Linked DNA regions of Tribolium castaneum. The protein of the gene in region 4 binds, or shares a complex with, the protein of the main gene of each other region. Links are inferred from orthologs where the notes say so. Each region holds a gene or a part of one and is shown on either strand. Other genes may lie near its edges. The genes, in order: Taf6, TfIIB, transcription initiation factor TFIID subunit 8, Taf7 and Tfb4.

Region 1 (4,488 bases), on a different chromosome or scaffold from region 4:
AATATAAAAATATATTCCTTCCTCGTAGTTTTATTTCCAAACATGATAATACATTAGTTTCATTTACAAAATCACTTACTCTACGTTTATTACATTAAATGTGACAAATCGTCGACAGTTGGAGGCTGCATCTGATCCGCTTTTTTCAATTGGCTTTGTTGAAACGTACTTTTCTGAACCACTGCCACCGGTGGTTGATTTCCTTGGATTAACTTTTGTGTCGTAATCATTTTTTGCTGACTGATTGTGCTCGTGTTTGAGACAAATTTAACGACTGTGTTTTGTTGCGATTGAGAGGATGGTTGAACGGAACCTCCCGGGGTTGGAGGACGTTGTGTCACAAATAAGATTTTTTGGTTGTTTATCTGGTTAGCGACTCGCCCTGATTGGTTCATTACGATCGTGCGCTGAGGGCCGGTGTTCTGCGGCAATAAAAAACCAACTGCACATCCACTTTCACGTTTATTTTATTAAACACCCCAAGTAATTATAATTACTGGAATTTTGGTGGGTTTCTTGGAATTGGAATTTAATTTTTTCGTTCATAAAAATAACATTTCTTGAACAGTTCTTTTACCGGCTTCCAAAAACTGCTAAATATTTATTGCAAACATATACAGTAATATGTTTAATAATATAATACAGTAAAACCTCTACAACCTACTTTAATGGCTAAAAAATAGCTAAAACATTTCTAATTTGTAAAACATTTTATTAATTCAAAAAAATTTGTAATAAATATTTAGCGATTTTTAATAGTGGAATCGCTAAATGAAGTATTCAAATTATGTTAATTGTTAATTTTATGACCGAAAAGATTTATGCCAGAGGTTAAGGTGCGGTTAGACGTCGTTTTTTCTACGGTTTTGTACGTACGGGTATGAACGAATTGGGATGCCACTTATTTTGGTCCTGGGTGTACACTTTTTTGGAACTTAATCAAAATCGCTTGGACGAATAAGGATTATTAAAATTTCCTTTGGGATTTATGGAATTGTTTTTAGAATTAGTGCAAATCTATTTGGAATCAGAATATTGATAATAGATATTGCGTTGAATTTCTTATAGCAACGAAAACAAAAAAAAATTAGGTGGGAATTACAGGAATTATTGGGATTTCAGGTCAATCGTTTGAAGCACATTTTGAAACTTTTTAATGCACTTACCTGTTGTATAATCTGGCAGGGCTGGCTCACAGTCCTCGTAATAGTGGCCCCCACGTTCGTCAACGACGTCGAAATATTGCAGGCCGTTGTTGTCGAAGGCGTCGGTTGTGTCCTTGCTTTCACCACAGCTGCGTGTAACGCGGGCCCCAAATACCCAAACTCTTGCTTATACTCCTCTACATAATCAGGTGGATTTTTCAAATTTTTCAATACGGGAGCCACAACTTTAATTAGCAATTGCTTAATATGTTCCGAGGCGATTTTATCAATATTGGAAGTAGTTGGTCCTTGAAGGTGCATTTCAATTCGGGCTCCGATTGATTTTAATCGCGGTAATATAAAAATTCTGATTACTTCCGCCCCTAGCTCTGAAAGCCCCTCAAGGGCACCGTAAAGGGACGAAAGTGGGACTTTATCGCCCTGTTGGAGCGCATTTGTAAACATTCGGGTAATTCTGGTCTGGATGTTGTTCGTGCTAGTGTTGAAGTTTTTACAAATTTGGGACATGAGACGTGAGGCGAAGTCGCGAAGCGCCCAATGGTTGTCCAGCTCGGGGCGCATGCACAGTTGTTTCGAGACAATACAGGTTGTTACCGACGGAATTAATTCGTGTAACTGTAATTAAACAACAAATTATAGCTACTTATACGAACTTTTAAAAATCAAGCAAAACATAATTTTGTAAAATGAGCGAAAAAATGTTTTCTTGGTCCATACTATACTTACATATTTTTCGAGGTACAACGATTGGTTGTCTAAGAGAGCCTTAACCATCCTCATTAGATAAATAAGAAGCGCTAAATTATTTTGTACAACGTTCACCCTGACCCCCTCTATGATAAAAGTGCACATGCGGGGCAACATTTCGTGAAGCCCTGGATCGGAGGCTAGACTTTGTAAAGCCTCGGCCCTCCGTGCCTCATCTGACCCCACACAAGCCTCGGTAATTTCCTTATAATACAACTGTTGCTCCACTGATAATTCATGCGTGGCCAATTGTTTAATTTGCACAGTTTCCACATTTCGTAATTTCTGTTTTCCAGTTGTGGGTTTCCCTGATGTTTCCTTGTTTGGTTTTTTATTAATAGGATCAACCGACTCCAACTACAACCCAAACCAATAAAAACGAACCAGTGGCGATAACAACGCAAACTTTACTTTTTGTATGTTTTTGGCCACCGGTGGCGGATTTTCGGGTATTGTGGGCTGCACCCCATCGATGCACAACCAATGGGACCTCAAAGACACCTCAAGTGGTGCTTTGGCGTTCAAATTTTGCAACAAATCGTTCAAAACCACCTCCTTCTCCTCAATAAAATGAAGCTCACGTCCGCCGCCTGATGCAAAACGGAACGGGAGGCCTTCGGCCGATTGGAAACCGTACTGGGGCTGTAAGACACAATGAGGTTAAATAACCAAAAAGCCCACATACCTCCAAGTTTTTGGCTTTGAGGGCTGCGTCAATGTCGCTCTGCATCAGTTTTGTTCGTTTGGCATGGTGGACGAACTTCGCAGCGTCTTGAATGATGTGTTTCAGTTTAAATGAGATGTCTTCAGCTAGTTCCTTTGCAGCGTCGTCGGGCAAATTTCCAATTCCGATGCTTTCGGCTATTACCTTCATAGATTCGACGGATAAATTCGTTCCGTATAAGTCATTTTCAGCGTTTTTGGACATTTTTCAAGGCAAAAAGGGGGCCAAAAATTGGCATATGCGCTTGTTTTGTTTACCAGTGGTGCCAACTCGAGTGGCACGCACGACGAAAACACCAACACATGCCGCATAACAACAACATTAAAGAACCAAAGTATTAAAGGATCATGAAGAAGAGTGCACTTAATTGATTTAATCGTGTGGGGGAGAAAAAATCACAACGAACAATTGTTTGTTCGAAAAAAACTGACAACAATCGGACCGAAAGCAGGTTCCTGTAAATTTGACGTCACCACAGATTACCATCCGTTCATGGAATCATGTCACTTGTTCGCACACTTGGGTTCAAAAATAGCACAAATGAGGCGCAATTCTGTGATTATAATAGATTTATTTTCAATAGAACTTATAGAATATAAATATAACATTAATAATATTTAAATTTTACATAATGTAATAAATCATAGCACATTAATTAATTGAGTGTGAATCACATTCCAGCGTTAGTAACTAAACCAGTCGGATTCAAAGCAAAGCGGAAATGTCCCAAATTTTGATTAGCCGGTCCTGTCCGACTGTTACCAATTTTTTGCGAGTCTCGTCCAATCCCATCGCTGTAATACTATGCTTAGCATCATGGAATGTGGCTAAAGACACCCTCCTGTAAAAAACTTTAGCAAGACATAACTTCACCACTTGCAACTCACTCTCTATCCCTTAACAAGTGGTGACAAGGGTCACAGACACGCACTGCGAACTCGAAACCCATCGCTGGAATTGTTAATCTACCTGTGGAACATTTCTCGCAAACTGCTTTCCCGCAATGTCTGCAGTGGTGTTGCCGTAAACCCAACTGTCGCTGGTCCATCATGGCTCGGAAGTTCCAAAAGAACGGTCTTCCACACAACTGACATAAATCGGACTCGATCCACTCGGGAGTCTCCTGACGCGTTTGGTTCATGTCCCAGAAGACCAGCACCCCGTCCTCGCCCGCGCTGACCAATTGTTTGGTCGAGTTAAGGTAGCACAAAGCAGAGACCTGTAATATCACATTCACTTGTTTCCACAATTTTGGTAATTTTTGGCACTGTTGCCAATTTAATTTCAAATGCCGATCGCCAACAAAAAACAAACCTTGACCTACGTAACCAATAAACAATTATCTTTGCTTCGGAAAAAATCCAACTGCGGTTGTAATAAACAATGTTTACCTTGTTGTGGTGACCTTGCAGCTCGTAGGCGTTGCCCTGTTGCCCCCCTATGTCCCAAACGATAACAGTTTGGTCGTAGGAGCCACTAAATAACATCTGCCGCTCGCTGTCCCAAGCCAGTGACCTAACAGAGCCCGAGTGCCCCTTCAAAGTTGTGATAACACTAGGGCCCGCATTATCCAATTTTAACATAGTTATTTGACCAGAATAATCCCCAACAAACGCATGTTTGGTTTGTGCATCAAATCTGCAAAAATTAAAGACATGACTCGAAAATTTTCCGCAAAAAATTAGTACTGTAGAGAGGTGCACCAGGCCTCAGCCGTGTAAGTCCCAATGTTGCGGCCGGTTTGTGTGCAATTGTACGAAAACACTTTATCCCTGCTCACGCTCAGAACCCATTCGCAGTTGATGGCAAAAATAATTTCGGTGACTCTTGCCTGATGTGCTAGGTACTCCC
Region 2 (4,338 bases), on a different chromosome or scaffold from region 4:
CTGCGTGATTAACGTGACCATATTGAACAAATGTGATTGGTCCATTCGCGTTATTATAACATTTAAATACGAAATAAATTTTAACAAAGCTTTGTATCTATAAATCAATATTAATATTGTATTTTTCAGTAATTAATAATTACAATATCTACTGAGAGCAAAAGTATAAAACCAAGCCAAAACTATATACCTTACTAAAAATACGACCAATTAGTATAAAGATGGGATGTTTTATTTGTAGCCTCCCATAAAAAGGAGATTTTTTTTACTTTTTAATATAATCTCCTTGTAGTTATTAGCACTTATAGTCAATTGATGTTTCGAAATCTTTATACTATCCTTGTGGACCGATTCTTGTAACTCTTCAAAAAAACTTTTTTTAGCTGTAATTTCTTCAAACTTTGTTTTATACTTATTTCCAGTGTAATATTTTTTAAGTCCAGTAATAGACTGAAGCTAAATTGTTATACATTGGCGCATAAAATCCATTGGATTGCGTTAAAATAGCTCCAAGCATTGAAAATATCTGATTTTTTTCGGTGAGCTTTTGTGCTCAAAGAAGGAGCAATATGCCACCCATTTTGCCAATTTTTTCTCATACTTAAAAACTGATAAAAGATATGATGTTTGTGTTTTAAAATCCTCAAGGTTTGAACTATTTTATACAACTTTCATTTGTAATCTTCCAATACCGTTCTTTGGATTTTTCTGACTATTTCTGCAGGAGAAGCACTTTTCAACTTTTTTCGACGTGGTGTTTCCTAAGGCCTGTACCTGTATGGCTCAATTGAAACTTTGCAATACAGTTTTAACTATGCTAATGTAGAACCTAACACATTTTAAAAATATTTCTTTACAGTTCGAAACTCAGGTTTCACCATTTCTTAAAAAATCGAAAACTTAGGGCAGCCAATACAGAATTTGATACAAGCTTAGTCACTCTTCGAAAGGATAAAACTACATAAAAATATAATAATTAATGAAAAAAAGTCAACTGCTTTCTATAAGAGACCGCGAATTAGTCATCACATTCTAATCTATAATTTCATTCTAAAATAAATTATTAAATTTGCGTTCCGAGCTCATTACGAAGGTTTTTTGAGCTTGGTCGAAGTAGTTGAAAAAAAATATTGCCAAAACTTCAACTTAAAAATCTAACTCGAGAAGAACTGTATGTTGTGAAAAAATACACAAACAATGTTTTGTCAGTTGGATGTGACTGTCTTACCCAAGAGATGGTTCCGATTTCCCGAACGTTTTAAATCAGCTTATATTGCTTTGAAATTGGCGCCAGTTTATTACTTTTGAGGTCGCTACTGTACGTTCTTAACAGAAATCTGCTTTACCAATAAACTGGAAGTCGAATGACTGAAACCTGTTTTATCGGTACAGTGTCGATTAACTATCACACTTGTCAAAACTTGAAAATTGTCATAATAACAATAAATAGAGAAGAAATAGTGCAAAATTGTACAAGATGGCGAGTAGTTCAAGGTATTTTAGCATAAATAACTTGTTACGATTCCAATTTCAATAATAATGATGTTAACCTCAAATAATATTTCAGGTATGACACGAATAAGGTTTGTTGTAATTCTCATCCAGATGCCCCCCTTATTGAAGATTACAGAGCAGGCGATCAGATTTGCTCCGAATGCGGTTTAGTAGTAGGTGACAGGTAATATTCAAATCAATAAAACGCATCATAAGTTTATTTGCTTGCATCATTGTAGAGTAATAGACGTTGGATCTGAATGGAGAACCTTCAGCAACGAAAAATCGGGGGTCGATCCTTCTCGTGTTGGTGGCCCCGAGAACCCCCTTCTTAACGGCTCAGACCTGACCACAATGATAGGCCCCGGTCGAGGTTTGTTTTATTTAAATATTCCACTCAAATAAGCCTTTAAATTAAAATGTTAGTGAAAAGCTTACCTTTTTGAAATAAGTTACTGTCTGTGCTACTGTGAAGTATTTCAAAACGTTTTGTTTGAATCACGAGAAGGTATTGAAAAAACGAATAAACGAATAAAATGTTTCGTAATGATTGTAAAAAATCGATGACTTGGAAAAAAGTTTTTAATAAGAATTGTAAAGCATAAAATTCTATATATTAATATTCTGCCGAATTTTTTGACATTATTCAAATAAACAGAGTTTAGGGTGGTTGCAATAAATATAAAGGGATGATCTGTACAATTTTAAAAAGTGACTATAAACATTTGATTATTTTGCAAAATTTTCTGCTGCGTTGTAATCCGAAGGTCGTTTTTGTATTGGAAATTGTTTTCATTATGAAAAAGACGTTTTAGCGAAAAAATTACACAAACCTAAAACTGGACAAATCTTGAGTTTACAACCTCGTGTCTTCCTTTTTGATAAAGCTAGAATTTTTTTTCACAAAATTTTCAATTAATGTGGATGTTTACGTAGTTACTTAGTTGAATATTTATAAAGGGAACCCGAAAAAAATACATTTTCTTGTAACGTTGCATATTTGTGTATCGAAATTTTTGAGATGCAAGAAAGTTTTTTTGTTGTATAAGACAAACCTCTATTGAATAGAAATGGAATGAAGCTATTCCAGTAATATTTAGACAACTCTTGATTATTAACTGGCAATATTGCTGACCAGGATACTTGCCTCTTGTGATCGGTTTGAAGTTTAAAAAAATTGGGAAAATTTTGATTTTTAACTGTTAAAATTAAACAAGCCCCCTCTAATAACCCGAACGGTATTTATTGTACCTACAATCCGAACGTTTGAATTTCGTAATCCGAAATACCACATGTTGATTTTAATTCTTGATAGTTGTTTGCAATACATTTTAATTTTGTATTTTTTTATTTTGAAACACTTAACGGTGTTTATAGCCACTGAGTATAATTTTTGTGGTAGGGATATGTATTTGCATGGTTATTTGGTTATGTAAGGTAACTGTAAACCGAACGCGTGTTGGGATTATTGATATTATTTGCAATCTGCAAATTTTCTGTTCGAATTATTCAAACATTACTGTACTTCATATCAGCTTTTGGTCACGAATCATTTCGATATCTGTAATAGTTTTTGAAATATTGGGAAAAATCCACTAATAGAGGGAGCACCCTTTTCAGAGTGTGTAGGGTAGGTTTCTTACGAAGTACTTATCAATACATGTTTATAGGAAACGTTTGTCTTAAAATTGAATGTTCTATCATCTGTTTAAATTCGTAACAATAAAAACGGAACACTCTGTATAAATGTTGCTCTTATTTCTTACGATGGGAAACACATCCAATAATTTTTAATTTCTACTGGCTAATTTTGTCATTGTTAAAGTCTTTCAATAAAGTAAAACCTGTGTGAATAACTTTTAAAGTTATTTGCATGCACAAGATTTTTTTACCCCATATGTGTAAACAAAAAGTAAATTAATTAGAAGTTGTAACATATTACCTTGTTGTTCGTTTTCGTGGTTTCAAAAGATTCACCTTTAACTTCAAAGATAATTGTTGGAATTAGTGCACTTTAAATTAACAGAATTGTATAATGATTGCTCAACGAAAAAAATGTGAGGTCTTTTCTGTGTCCCGTCCGTCATCAATTTGTGTTTCTTTTTCCTGTCCATATTTGAATTTTTACAAATGTGGCTCCTATGTAGGTTGCAAACCGTTTAACTGGTACTAAGTTCCTATAAATAAAAATTCACTTTTACTGATACTGTTCATAAAAACTGAAAATGAAATAGAAACCATGTGAAGTGTCCCGTCCGTTAAAATGGAATGGCTGCTAAAACATACTTTGTTTTTGATTTTCAAAACGTTTTTAACTTATATGTATAGAAAGATGCAAGCTTTTTCCCAAAATTTTGATTTATTTATTTTGACTGGACAACAAAACTTATCACAGTTTGTCTTTTAATTTTTTTCCAGGGGACGCCTCCTTTGATAGTTTCGGTGTCGCGCGCTACCAGAACCGTAAAACCATGAGCAGTTCCGACCGCGCTTTGATCAACGCTTTTCGTGAAATCAACGGAATGGCGGATCGCATTAATCTTCCAAGGACTATAGTAGACCGTGCTAATAACTTGTTCAAACAAGTGCATGATGGACGTAACTTGAAAGGACGCTCTAACGACGCCATAGCGTCGGCGTGTCTTTACATAGCTTGTCGGCAAGAGGGCGTCCCTCGAACGTTCAAAGAAATCTGCGCCGTCAGTAAAATTAGTAAACGAGAGATTGGAAGATGTTTTAAATTGATTTTGAAAGCGCTTGAAACTTCAGTGGATCTCATTACCACTGGTGATTTTATGTCGAGGTTTTGCTCGAACCTTGGTTTGCCGAATATGGTGCAAAGGG
Region 3 (3,560 bases), on a different chromosome or scaffold from region 4:
GTCCTCGCGCCTACCACACCGACTGCATTCACCCCATCATGCACAAAGTTCCTCGCGGCAAATGGTACTGTTCCAAATGCATATCGAAAAAGCCTCAGAAGAAGACGATGCGTAAAAACCACGCAAAGTCTAGCAAAGATAGCGAACTGTCCGACCATCCTCCTTCTAGGTACCTCTCAATTTTTCGTTTTTTATTTATTAACATGTCGCGTCTCCAGTCCCGCACCGTCTCATAGTTCCGTTACGACGAACGAAGAAGCAACGAATTGCAACCAAAGCGACGTCTCTAACTCGAGTCTCGGCAACGCAGGCTCTCCGTCCACGCAAACGTGCAAGAAGGACCGCATCTCGAAGAAACTACTCAAAGAACTCGCGCCGTGCAAGACGATTCTGGAGGATTTGGAGTGCCATGATGACGCGTGGCCCTTTTTGCTTCCGGTGAATACGAAGCAGTTTCCCACTTACAAAAAAATCATCAAAACGCCGATGGATTTGTCGACGATCAAGAAGAAACTGTACGATGTGAGGTTGGTGTTTTGACTTGAAAATTGATGGTGTGAGTTATTTGGGCGTTTTTCTAGTTATAAATCCAAAGAGGAGTTCGTTCTGGACGTGAGACAGATTTTCAACAACTGCGAAGTGTTCAACGAGGACGACAGTCCTGTGGGAAAGGCAGGCCACTGCATGCGCCAGTTTTTCGAAGCTCGGTGGAACGAGCTGAGTATTTCAAATAGTTGAGGACTACTTTATCCCAAAAGACCTTACCATCGAAGAATGCGGCCCCCGGAAAACAGTGTTTAAATTGCGATGAGGTGTGAATACAAACTAATTTTTTCAGAAAAACAGTACAGGTATTTCCAGTGTGTGATATTGACTTTAAAAATGTATACTTCAGCTTTTTATCGTTCGGAAATTGTAATTATTTGAATGCAATTAAAGTCTTGGATTTGCGCATCACTTAATGAATTGACTTAAACAAGAATGTGATTTTTAGTTGGTTTCTCAATTTGTATTAATTTGTATTTTTGATAATTGTGTATTTTTTTATTTAATTATTTATTTAGGATAACTATTTTGTTCATTAAATGTTCAGTGGTTTCTATTTATTTATTTTTCTAACTCAATTTCAGTTTCCCGACTTGAAGTCTGGTTCAGTTACAGTGAATAAATTAGAGTAAGAGTTTGTATAAAATGTAAAGAAATTTCTTCACATAATTGCATCGCTCAACATTAAATTAAATGTCTCTCTAGCCTATTACAAAATGTTTTTATGTAAGCTGAACATAGTTCTCAAAGGAAAGGATGTATTAATAAATAATGTGTTTGGTAGGCTAGTTCTCTGCAGCGCTAAACTGCAACTCATAGAACTAGGTTATGTATTTTAATGTAAGATATTTATATTAATTATATTTACTTATAAATGTCGCCTTTTTTCATTTCTCTCCAACCGCTACTACCCTGTTTTCCAACCACACGTTGGAAATTTTTGGAATTCCCGCGTATGGATGTTTAAATTTCGGCTCTTTGGTGATTCGGTCAGAAACACAAGCTTGTCATTTGTCAAACGTTATTATAACCTTAACTTTTCGGAACGTAAATAACAACAAACTTTGCTTTAAACTTTAAAAAATGGAACAAACCACCACCCAGCAAGTAAACGTTTACCGAAAAATGTTAGCAGCGTCAGTCTGCAGCATTCTAATGGAGTCTGGTTTCGATACGGCCGACAAAGAAAGCCTCGGTACTTTAACAGAAATGATCCAGTGCTGTAAGCCCCTCAACCCTTTTTTCGCGAAATAAGCACACTTTCTTGCAGTCCTAACCGAAGTGGGGGCACTTTCGAAAAGCTACTGCGAGTTGTCGGGCCGTTCGGAGCCCGTGGTGGCCGACGTGATTTTAGCATTTGTGGAAATGGGGCACAATTTCAACGACTTGATGGTGTACACAAAAGGCATGAAGCATTCGGTTTTACCCCCACTACAACCACAGCAGCCCCAGAAGCAGCTAAATATGTTACCAGCTGGCTCGAAGCACCCTTTACCCCCTTACATCCCTCAGCATTTACCCCAGTTTCCGGACCCCCACGCCTACGTTCGCACTCCTGTAGGTTTGTGCTGTTGGGGCGCGTCAAATATTTTATTGTTCTATTACAGACACACAAACAACCAATTATTGATTACGAATCAGTGAGAGAAAAAGCGGCAGTTCAGAAAAAAGACATAGAAAAGGCGTTAACGAAGTTTCTTGCCAAGACTAACCCCACACATAATTTGTTTGACACAGATGAGGCGAATATTTTTCCACGTAAGTGGTCCGTTTTTTATTTGGAATTTTTATTTCGTGAGTGGTGGTCAATAGTGCTCTGGAAAAAATTGGTTGCAGAGCACTCTTGACTACGTTTTTGTTTTATACCCACTATAGCAATTGAAATATTTTAGTGATAGCTTGTAAGCCTGCGTACCCCCCTTACTTGAGCGCTCTCCTGCCCCAGGATCAAATTTTTGATCCTGAAGACCTCGAATATGACCACAAAAGTCAAATGATGCAACAATCAAAAGAACAAAAAGCGAAAGAAAAAGCTGAAAATAAAGAAGAAGAAGAGACTGAAGAAACACTAAATGATTCCACAAAAAGTGAAGAAAACACAAACCCAAATGGGTACATTGATAATCCGTATTTGGCCGCAACGAAGCTGCCTAAAAAGGACGAAATGGAGGTGTCATAAGTAAGACTAAATTATAAGTTTAAATTTTTTATTTATACAACATGTAGTTATTTATAAGAATCGGAGTTATAGAAATGAATATAACAAGATTTGAATCAAACACAATTTTGTTGCTTGTTGCAAACAAGAATGGCTGGAACAAAGCCTCCTCTTCCAAACTTGTCATCCATCCGACCACACTTTCATTCCGATTTTGTACTTTGAGCCACAACATCAAGGGCTGGAAGTACTGAAGCATTGCTTCAGCAGACAGGCGATCCGACTGTCCTCTAGTTAACATTTTTATCACTTCTTTCCAATGTCTGGCCTTCCCGACTTTTAGCAAGTCCCTAAAAATATCTAATTAATTTTTATTACAAGTATTGAACAGTCATTACGATAAAACGCGTCCGGCTTCCCTCGACCGGTAAATATCGCAATTATGCAACGGCCCCACATGCCCTGAAGCAAAACACATCGAGCTGTGAATTTGGAATTCGAGCAAAAGCGCGACGTAATATTTCATGTACGGAATATCGGCGGGAATGTGGCGTTTTGCAGCGGCGTCGAAGTGGTTTTCAGTGCGAGGGATTGGGGGGATTAATCCCTGGTAGCGCAGGCGCAATTCCCACCAAACTGCGTTCATGTTTTGCACCCCGTTTTGAAAAATTTCATAACGCCACTGGAACAATTATTTTTTTAATTATTTAACTGTGAAAGGGAAAATTGGCACTTACTGCGTCCACTAAATACGCAAACGGGGCAAACGCGACTTTTTTCAAAGCCATCAGCATCAAAAAGTTGATGTTGGTTTCGTAACTGTCGGTGTTTTCGTTGAATAAGCCGACTCGGTGCA
Region 4 (3,529 bases):
TTGTTGGCACTAAACTGATCACTAGAACACTAGAGTTCATTTTAAAACAAAATCGCACGAAAACCCAAAAAGTGTTAATTTGTCACCTATTTGACCCAAAAAAAATTAAATACACTATTGCCGTTTTTTTTTATAATTTTGAAATAAATATTGATAGTTTTTCTTTACGAGTCTTTATAATTGAGGCTGAACTCAGATTAAAAATGCAATGAGCATTAGTATGATTTATTAAATAATTTACTTATTTTCTTGTTATATACTGGTAAATAAGGAAACGTGTTATTTTACTTTATGATTTGCAATAAAAAAATGTATATCTCATTTCAGATCGTAGTAGAATTTTGCAACAACGCATTTGCAATTTTTTGAGTGAAATGGAGCATAAATTGAGAGCTTCTGCTAGGTTTTCTTAGCTCAAAGTGTGGCGCTGGAATTTGGTTTAACTCAGAATTTTTTTTCTTATACAGAAATTCTCAATTTGTGCTTTATTTTCACTCCAAAAAATCAAATGCGCTGTTGCAATTCTACTATGAACTGAAATGGGATATAATGAGTGTCCCTGAAATAGACTTGATGATGGAGACTAATACAAACTAAAAATAAGTATAGTTTTTGCCGATAAAGTTGTTTATTTTCTAAATTGTGCCCTATTCATAAAAAATAATTATCTATAGAAATTTACACAATTAAAATCGAATAAAACAGATTTTTTAATTAATCTAACATTGATACGCTTACAAGAAACACTTCACTATAACCCCTTTTTGGACCTAAAATTACAAAATACGATTTTTTAACCACTCCAATACTACTCTGGGTGCTGCTTCAGAAGCTCCTCCAACCCGTATTTCTCCTGTTCCTTCTCGATTTGCTCCTGCAGAAGCCTATCCAAAATATTCTGAAAGCGTTGTCTCAGCGCCAAATTCTCAATATTTTCAATTTCCATTTCCTGGTGTTGCCTCCTCATTTTCAAATTATCCAACTCCAACTGCAGCTCTTCAAGCCTCGCCAAAATATTACTCTTACTCAAATTCTGCTCTGTGTAGGAAATATTGCTGGATGACTGCTGATAATAGTCCATTTCTTGCATCAAAGAGGGGGAATTTTGCATTTCGTTGAACATATCACTGGTGAATTCTGTCAACAATTTTGAGTTTGCGGTATTGATCATCATTGAGTTGGAGTCAGTCAGGTGGCTGTCTTCGGCCGAGTTCTGACTATTGTCGTCCAGTTCCAATACGTTAAGGTGGGCGTCCTCCTCCTCTGAGTCACTCACAGCCCCCCCGAAAATATCATGTTCGGCCACGTTCTGATTGGGGGCTTCTGCAGGTTCCTTCTTCACCACGGTGCCTTTGTTGACTTTGTTTTCGTCGTCTTCGTTGATAACCTCCCATTTAACACTAACTGCATCATTGTCTATCCTTAACAATCTTTTGACTTCCTTCTCTATTTCGGGGGCTTCCACGTATTTCTTCTTCAAAGTCTTGCGGAATCGTCGCTTCCTTACGTTTTTCGTCGGTGGTGTGATCCCGTGTGGCATCAGATATTTTTTCTCCACTTTGTTGGGGTCTTTACGTTTCGACTTTTGTGGGGACTCTTCATCAGTAGTCGTTTGGTCGTCCTCTTCCTTACATATGAGCATTTGGCAAATATCGGCTGTTTTGTAGAAACCTTTCGAATCAATAGTTTTAAGGGACTCGATAATAGTGGGAAGGTCCATAACTTTAGCTGGTAAAAGCCAGTGGTCGATTCGGACTTCACCATGTCGCATGTCATTTTCTATTTTGATGGCCACCCTGTCTTTGAGGGTGCTGTTGTTTCGGATGGCTTCGCGAAGGACACGGGCTGGTTCTTCCGGTAGACGTAAAATGAACTGGCATTCGAGTTCTGCAGGTGAATCGGGTTCGTGGCCCCCTTTGTACATTTTTTTTTTTTCAATAATTGGGGCTTAAATTAATACAAAAGTGGATTTGACACGAATTTTAAACTTAATGTAAATGTAACAACACCATATTTTAATTGCTAAAAATGACAAACTTTTATTTGTTGACGGTTGAGGTTATGTTTGTGAGTTGTGGAGGTTAGGTATGCTAAGTGGTTTTCTGATTTATCGGCCGTGGGTGTATCTGTTGGTTGGGGGAAGTGGAGTACTGGTGGCGCTGCATGCTAAGACTTTAAGTCAGTGGCGTAGGTTATTTATCATTTATCTGTTTTTTCTTGAAATATTTGAAATATTTATTGTCTGACAGTGTTTCTTTAATTGTTTGTAAGTGGCCACATTGAATTTGGCGGGACAGTAAATAACTTTTTACCTAACAGTATGATTTTACAAAATAATGGCCAAGTCGTTAAATATTTTGGAATTAAAAATTTTGTTATTTCACTGAGGGCTAGAAAGTGGCGTGTTCTGTTCAATATTAATTTTAGTTACTTGATTTCGGATTCTGAATAAGTTTCGGATTGGCGTCTATAAAAATCCGAAAAACTTTGTTTTGTTTGATTTAATTTATTTGAAAATGCATTTTTTCTATATCTCATTTCAATTCATAATAGAATTTTGCAACAGCGCATTTGTAATTTTTGGAGTTTCTGGTTGGCTTTCTTAGCTCGAAACGTGTCGCTGGGATTTAGTTTAACACAGAATTCTTTTCCTTTACCGAAACTCTCAATTTGTGCTTTATTTCTCACTCCGGAAAATTCAAATGCGCTGTTGTAATTTATGGAATAAGTTTACTCGTGACTTCGTCACCCTTAAACTAAACTTTTCCACTTGTACATAAACAATCTTTTTATCGTCTTGTATAATATTAATAACTCTTGTATATAATCAGCATCAATTATTTATTATAAGTTGTACATCTTAAAAACATTCAAATAAACATAATACATCAAACAATGATCTTAAACCAACAAAAAACAATGAGATGTTTTTTGATTTTTTTGTACCTAGATTAGATACTTGTCATTCCAACTCAATAAAATGCCAATAAAGCAATTTACTGAATATTTTTTTTAAATAACGTTTATAAAAATGTAAAATACCAAGTTGTTAATTATTATTATTAGATCTGTATCTGTCACTGGAACTCCAAATTACATTAGCTATTAAGTTATTGAAGTGCATGAATAATAAATTAATAACAACTAACTTTGAGAGACAAAAACCGGAATAGATATTACATTACTAAAAAGCAGATTAATGTTTACGTAAATAGTTAAAATACATATATGTTTTTTTTTACATAATTATGATCAAGATTCATTCAAGATTTTTTTGCTCAACTTCTAATATTGTGAATCCATTCTACTTTACGAAATTTAAATGAAAAATATAGATTAATGTTTAAACTAGACAGGCACTAATAATAGTAATAATAGAGATTAGATTCTCAGCTACCACTATAAAAAAGTAGTAATATATTGCATTTTCGATTTTTTCCCATTTTTAAAAAGTAATAATAGTTTTTAACTGTAATTCAAAAATTTAAAGTAAAGGCAAACATTGCATAGTTTTAAATATTTTAGTATT
Region 5 (3,793 bases), on a different chromosome or scaffold from region 4:
GCATTGCCAACTAGACCAGTTAAAAATCTCTATTGGGCCTAAAGTGGGATTAATTTGGATTACAGAGGCCCGCACGTCGTGGATTATGCCCTTCACGGCCGGGACGTTCCTCCACATCGCGCTGGTCACGGTCCTCCCGGATTTACTCAAAGAGGAGGACCCCCGGGAGTCACTCAAGCAGATCCTCGCCCTTATTGCAGGGATCAGTGTCATGGCCATCGTGACGACTTTAGTTGAGTGATAAGTGATAAGAATTCAGTTGCCATATTGTTGATAGTTTTGTTGTAAATTACAGTATTAGTTGTAATTTTTGTTTTCTTTAGGTAGGGCATTAAGCGAAAACCATATTTTTCCAGTTGTTAGCATCGTCTGATGGTAATCAGACTGAACTATTTTTGTGATATTAACATTTTTTCAACACAATATATTTTATTATTCTGTAGTACTTAAAGTGCTCTTATATATTTTATATCAAAATAAAACATGACTACGATGATATATTGTAAATAAAGAGCAAGAAACGACCTAGAAACTATTAATACCAGACCCGTCTGACCTCATTCCAATCAAAACAATGCGCATTTATCATTATCAAGGGTAATAATAAAACAAATTCAACAAAAAAAATTTTTATTACAACTTGATTTTCCGCTTTTTCGGCTTCACAGCTAACGGTCCTGGGATTTTGAAGACAGTACTGGAAAAAAAAATTAGTCCACGAATAACACAATTTTGAAAAAACATACTGACAAGTCGTACAAATCGGGCTAAACTTGCAGAAAACTGTAACAAAAATCATTAGCTGGGGCTTAAACCGGCCCACTTCACTCACTTGACAAACACACCGAACAGACGTAACCTATATCAATTAACTCCCGGTGGCAGAAACAAGCCGCCCTGTAGTCAACCTTGACAGGGGGCGGAAGCACCAATTTTTGCCGAATAGGCGGCTCAGGCAAAAACACCCACTGGAAATAATTCAAGGTTGGCAACGCTGGCAATGGATTTTTCACACGCCAGTGTTTCCACGTCTAGTAAAATATCACCAAATCTGGTGATTTATTTCTTAAAATGCGAACATTTAGCAAACATTTAATAGAATTATTTATTATTTCAAATAAAAAATCGCAAAAATGAGGAAATTAAGTAAAAAAAAACAAAACTTACGAGAAGATATTGTAACAGGCCTTGCAGTTGCGGGACTTTCAAGTACAGCCCCCCTGTGATATCGCAGCCTTGCTGCAGCAGACTCAAATGTTGGTCAAGGGCGCACACATCAATCACAATTCCCTGTTTTTGCGCCGTGAAAAAAACGTTCATATAATTCATATACTGCGAGGCGGAGTCTCCGCTCCCCGTCACCACCAAAATGCGGCTGTTTAGGACACACCCGGGGGGCTTCGTCCGCTGGATCCGCGCAATGTAACACAGGGCCATAGCGATCGCCCCTGCGAGCAGTGACTCCGTCACAAGAGTTGATTTTTCGGTGGCCAGCAATTTGGCCAAGTTCTGCTTGATTGTTTTCTCCACTGCCGTGAAAACCTCGTACTGGCCGTCGATTTGGCGCACGTCGAGGGGCTTGTTGGGGCCCGGGTAGATGAACTCGCTGGAGTTTAGGGGTAAAGACAGTGGGGTGGTTATGGGGGCACGTACCTGGTCTTGGAGTGGCAAGCCATCACGGCGAGCTTGTTTTGCGCCTTTTGCATTAAATGAGAGTTGGCGAACGCTATGACTGAGTCTATGCAGTGGGTGAGGACGTGGGGGTTGTCTCGGAGCATCTTCTGGCTGGGGTTACTGTCGACGATTACCACCAGGAGACTAGTCTCGCTGGTTGAGGTGAATTCGGGGGCCGAATCGGCCGGGATCTCCAAATTATTCATTGTTTATGTGCGGTTTAAAAGTGGGGTTATATGGGAATTGAGTGACGTAACTTGAGACACTTCCCGGCATTGGGGCCAGAAAGTTATGCAATATTTTTTTCCCCAATTTCCTTAATAATGACTAAGCACGGAAGTATTGGATCATGTGGTTTTTAACGCAAGTTATTGTACTGCTTGCCCAATTTATGTTAATCGTGTTCGGGATTTGTAACCGCAAGCACAACTAGTCACGTGACCAGTTTTTACTTTCAAAGTGGTTTCAAAATTCGAATTTATTTTTCCTGTAGAAGTGCCGCCGGGCGTTTGGTGCAGCAAAGGTGAGTAATTCCGGGTTCAGGGGTGTGGGTTGCATGTTTGGGGTGCATTTGCGCTTTATAATTTGTCCATTTTCAAATTTTGTCAAAAGTAAGGTTACGGGGGGCCGCCAAATTCAATTCAGTCAGGTAATAGTCATTTACTCATCGATAAATGTACAATTTGACAGTATCTGCTAAAATATGTAATATTTTTGCCACATACATGAGGTTCGTGAACGAAACTGGCAAAATATAAAATTTTTACAAAATTAAGGCTTACAAAATCTTCTTTAAAACATTGGGCCCCAAAACCAGCCCGAAATGTTTCATCAATTCGGTCAAACTTTTCACGACGATGTCGGTATTTAAGGACACTCCCGGACTGTGTTCCCCCTCATCCTCGATTCGCAGTTGCAGTAAATGCGTGGCTGAGGGGTTGTTTTTGCAAATTTGTCGCAACTCGGTTTGGAGTGTCTCCAAGTACGCGATGGTCTGTTGATCCACCTGCAAAAAGCGGTGAATTTTGGTACAAAAGGGGCTGCCGCACCTGTGCCTGCTTCGTTGCGCAAATTTCCATCAGTTGGGGCAACTGTACCGCAGTTTTGTTGACGATTTGCTGCTCAACGGTGCAGAGAAGCTGGTAGAGATAGTTGCGGTTCTCGTCCGTTTCCTGGTGACGCGTGGGGGGCGTGAGCGACTCGCCGTCGGGGATTCTCGGGGGCAACATGGGGGCTATCCCCAGCAGGCCGGGCTTGATTTTCGTGGCCGCGGTCGCGAGCGCGTACGAGAGCACAGCCGCGTCGTAAGCCTCCATTTTTAGCACTTTTGACGAACTGGAATGTGAAATAATCAAATAGCCCAGGTTTAAAATATACGGAATGAATCTGCTAAAAGTTTATTTTTTCGATATCTCATCTGCCAAATTCAGAGTCCATTTAAACATTGTTATTTTAAAATTATCAAAAGAAATATAAAAAAAAATTTTTTCAGGCTCGTAATTACATATTAAGTAAACCCTCATTTTTGTGTAATTATTAATTTTTGAAATACAGTAAAAATACTTCCAGCAGACTCACCTTGTTTAGGTATTTTTACTTAAAATCATTTACTGAATAGTCTTAATCCGTTTACTGACGGAAAAATTAGTATAAAAGAGTCTACTTCCGGGACTAAAACATGCCACAGGCCTCGCATGCAGGGTAAACAAAAGAAAAAAAAAACAAAAAATAAATTAATCCCGTTTATTTTTATCTGAAATAAAAATAAAACATATGTACAAATATAATTAACAAATTGGTATCTATTAGGGCTTAACTTATATGTACAGGAATAAGTTTGATTTCGTACAGTTTACGAAATTTACATTCGAATTTTAGACGAAGGCACTTTAAAAGGCAACCAAAACTAATTACAGCAATCTACACAAACATATAAAAACGCTTTGTAACCTAAATTGCCAAAAATCGGTCGTAGCACCCACCTTTGAAAAAAATGACTTTATCACATAAAATACATAGGATAGAGGATGAGGATTTTTGGCAACAGAAAAAAGGAAAGGGTGATAAAATGAATACACTATAAAATTATACAAAAACCCTTACAGGAAATAATTTATAA

Evidence for each region.
Region 1: Taf7 (region 4) and Taf6 share a complex: the UniProt entries of both Homo sapiens proteins name them as parts of the TFIID basal transcription factor complex. The link is inferred for Tribolium castaneum from reciprocal best matches to the Homo sapiens genes TAF7 and TAF6.
Region 2: Taf7 (region 4) and TfIIB share a complex: the UniProt entries of both Homo sapiens proteins name them as parts of the TFIID-containing RNA polymerase II pre-initiation complex. The link is inferred for Tribolium castaneum from reciprocal best matches to the Homo sapiens genes TAF7 and GTF2B.
Region 3: Taf7 (region 4) and transcription initiation factor TFIID subunit 8 share a complex: the UniProt entries of both Homo sapiens proteins name them as parts of the TFIID basal transcription factor complex. The link is inferred for Tribolium castaneum from reciprocal best matches to the Homo sapiens genes TAF7 and TAF8.
Region 5: Taf7 (region 4) and Tfb4 share a complex: the UniProt entries of both Homo sapiens proteins name them as parts of the TFIID-containing RNA polymerase II pre-initiation complex. The link is inferred for Tribolium castaneum from reciprocal best matches to the Homo sapiens genes TAF7 and GTF2H3.

Annotation. Positions count from the first base shown.
Region 1 is NC_087398.1:814,676-819,163, reverse strand, and holds Taf6 (transcription initiation factor TFIID subunit 6), read right to left. Parts: upstream 3,104-4,488; 5' UTR 2,842-3,103; coding exon 2,599-2,841; intron 2,556-2,598; coding exon 2,325-2,555; intron 2,271-2,324; coding exon 1,893-2,270; intron 1,782-1,892; coding exon 1,167-1,781; intron 423-1,166; coding exon 90-422; 3' UTR 15-89; downstream 1-14. Other genes in the region: Wdfy2 (WD repeat and FYVE domain-containing protein 2), read right to left, coding at 3,343-3,478, 3,525-3,856, 4,029-4,275, 4,326-4,488. UniProt on the Homo sapiens protein: The TFIID basal transcription factor complex plays a major role in the initiation of RNA polymerase II (Pol II)-dependent transcription.
Region 2 is NC_087398.1:13,752,036-13,756,373, forward strand, and holds the start of TfIIB (transcription initiation factor IIB), read left to right. Parts: upstream 1-1,345; 5' UTR 1,346-1,477; coding exon 1,478-1,494; intron 1,495-1,567; coding exon 1,568-1,678; intron 1,679-1,733; coding exon 1,734-1,867; intron 1,868-3,912; coding exon 3,913-4,338. UniProt on the Homo sapiens protein: General transcription factor that plays a role in transcription initiation by RNA polymerase II (Pol II). Involved in the pre-initiation complex (PIC) formation and Pol II recruitment at promoter DNA.
Region 3 is NC_087396.1:13,180,056-13,183,615, forward strand, and holds transcription initiation factor TFIID subunit 8, read left to right. Parts: upstream 1-1,534; 5' UTR 1,535-1,629; coding exon 1,630-1,768; intron 1,769-1,816; coding exon 1,817-2,103; intron 2,104-2,153; coding exon 2,154-2,304; intron 2,305-2,438; coding exon 2,439-2,725; 3' UTR 2,726-2,753; downstream 2,754-3,560. Other genes in the region: tou (bromodomain adjacent to zinc finger domain protein 2B), read left to right, coding at 1-169, 219-527, 582-738; angiotensin-converting enzyme, read right to left, coding at 2,754-3,054, 3,103-3,386, 3,442-3,560. UniProt on the Homo sapiens protein: The TFIID basal transcription factor complex plays a major role in the initiation of RNA polymerase II (Pol II)-dependent transcription.
Region 4 is NC_087394.1:13,420,382-13,423,910, forward strand, and holds Taf7 (transcription initiation factor TFIID subunit 7), read right to left. Parts: upstream 2,099-3,529; 5' UTR 1,925-2,098; coding exon 809-1,924; 3' UTR 610-808; downstream 1-609. UniProt on the Homo sapiens protein: The TFIID basal transcription factor complex plays a major role in the initiation of RNA polymerase II (Pol II)-dependent transcription.
Region 5 is NC_087395.1:24,750,821-24,754,613, forward strand, and holds Tfb4 (general transcription factor IIH subunit 3), read right to left. Parts: upstream 2,057-3,793; 5' UTR 1,881-2,056; coding exon 1,654-1,880; intron 1,607-1,653; coding exon 1,168-1,606; intron 1,032-1,167; coding exon 833-1,031; intron 784-832; coding exon 747-783; intron 698-746; coding exon 634-697; 3' UTR 614-633; downstream 1-613. Other genes in the region: Zip99C (zinc transporter ZIP13 homolog), read left to right, coding at 66-241; Cdk12 (cyclin-dependent kinase 12), read right to left, coding at 2,453-2,680, 2,724-3,009. UniProt on the Homo sapiens protein: Component of the general transcription and DNA repair factor IIH (TFIIH) core complex, which is involved in general and transcription-coupled nucleotide excision repair (NER) of damaged DNA and, when complexed to CAK, in RNA transcription by RNA polymerase II.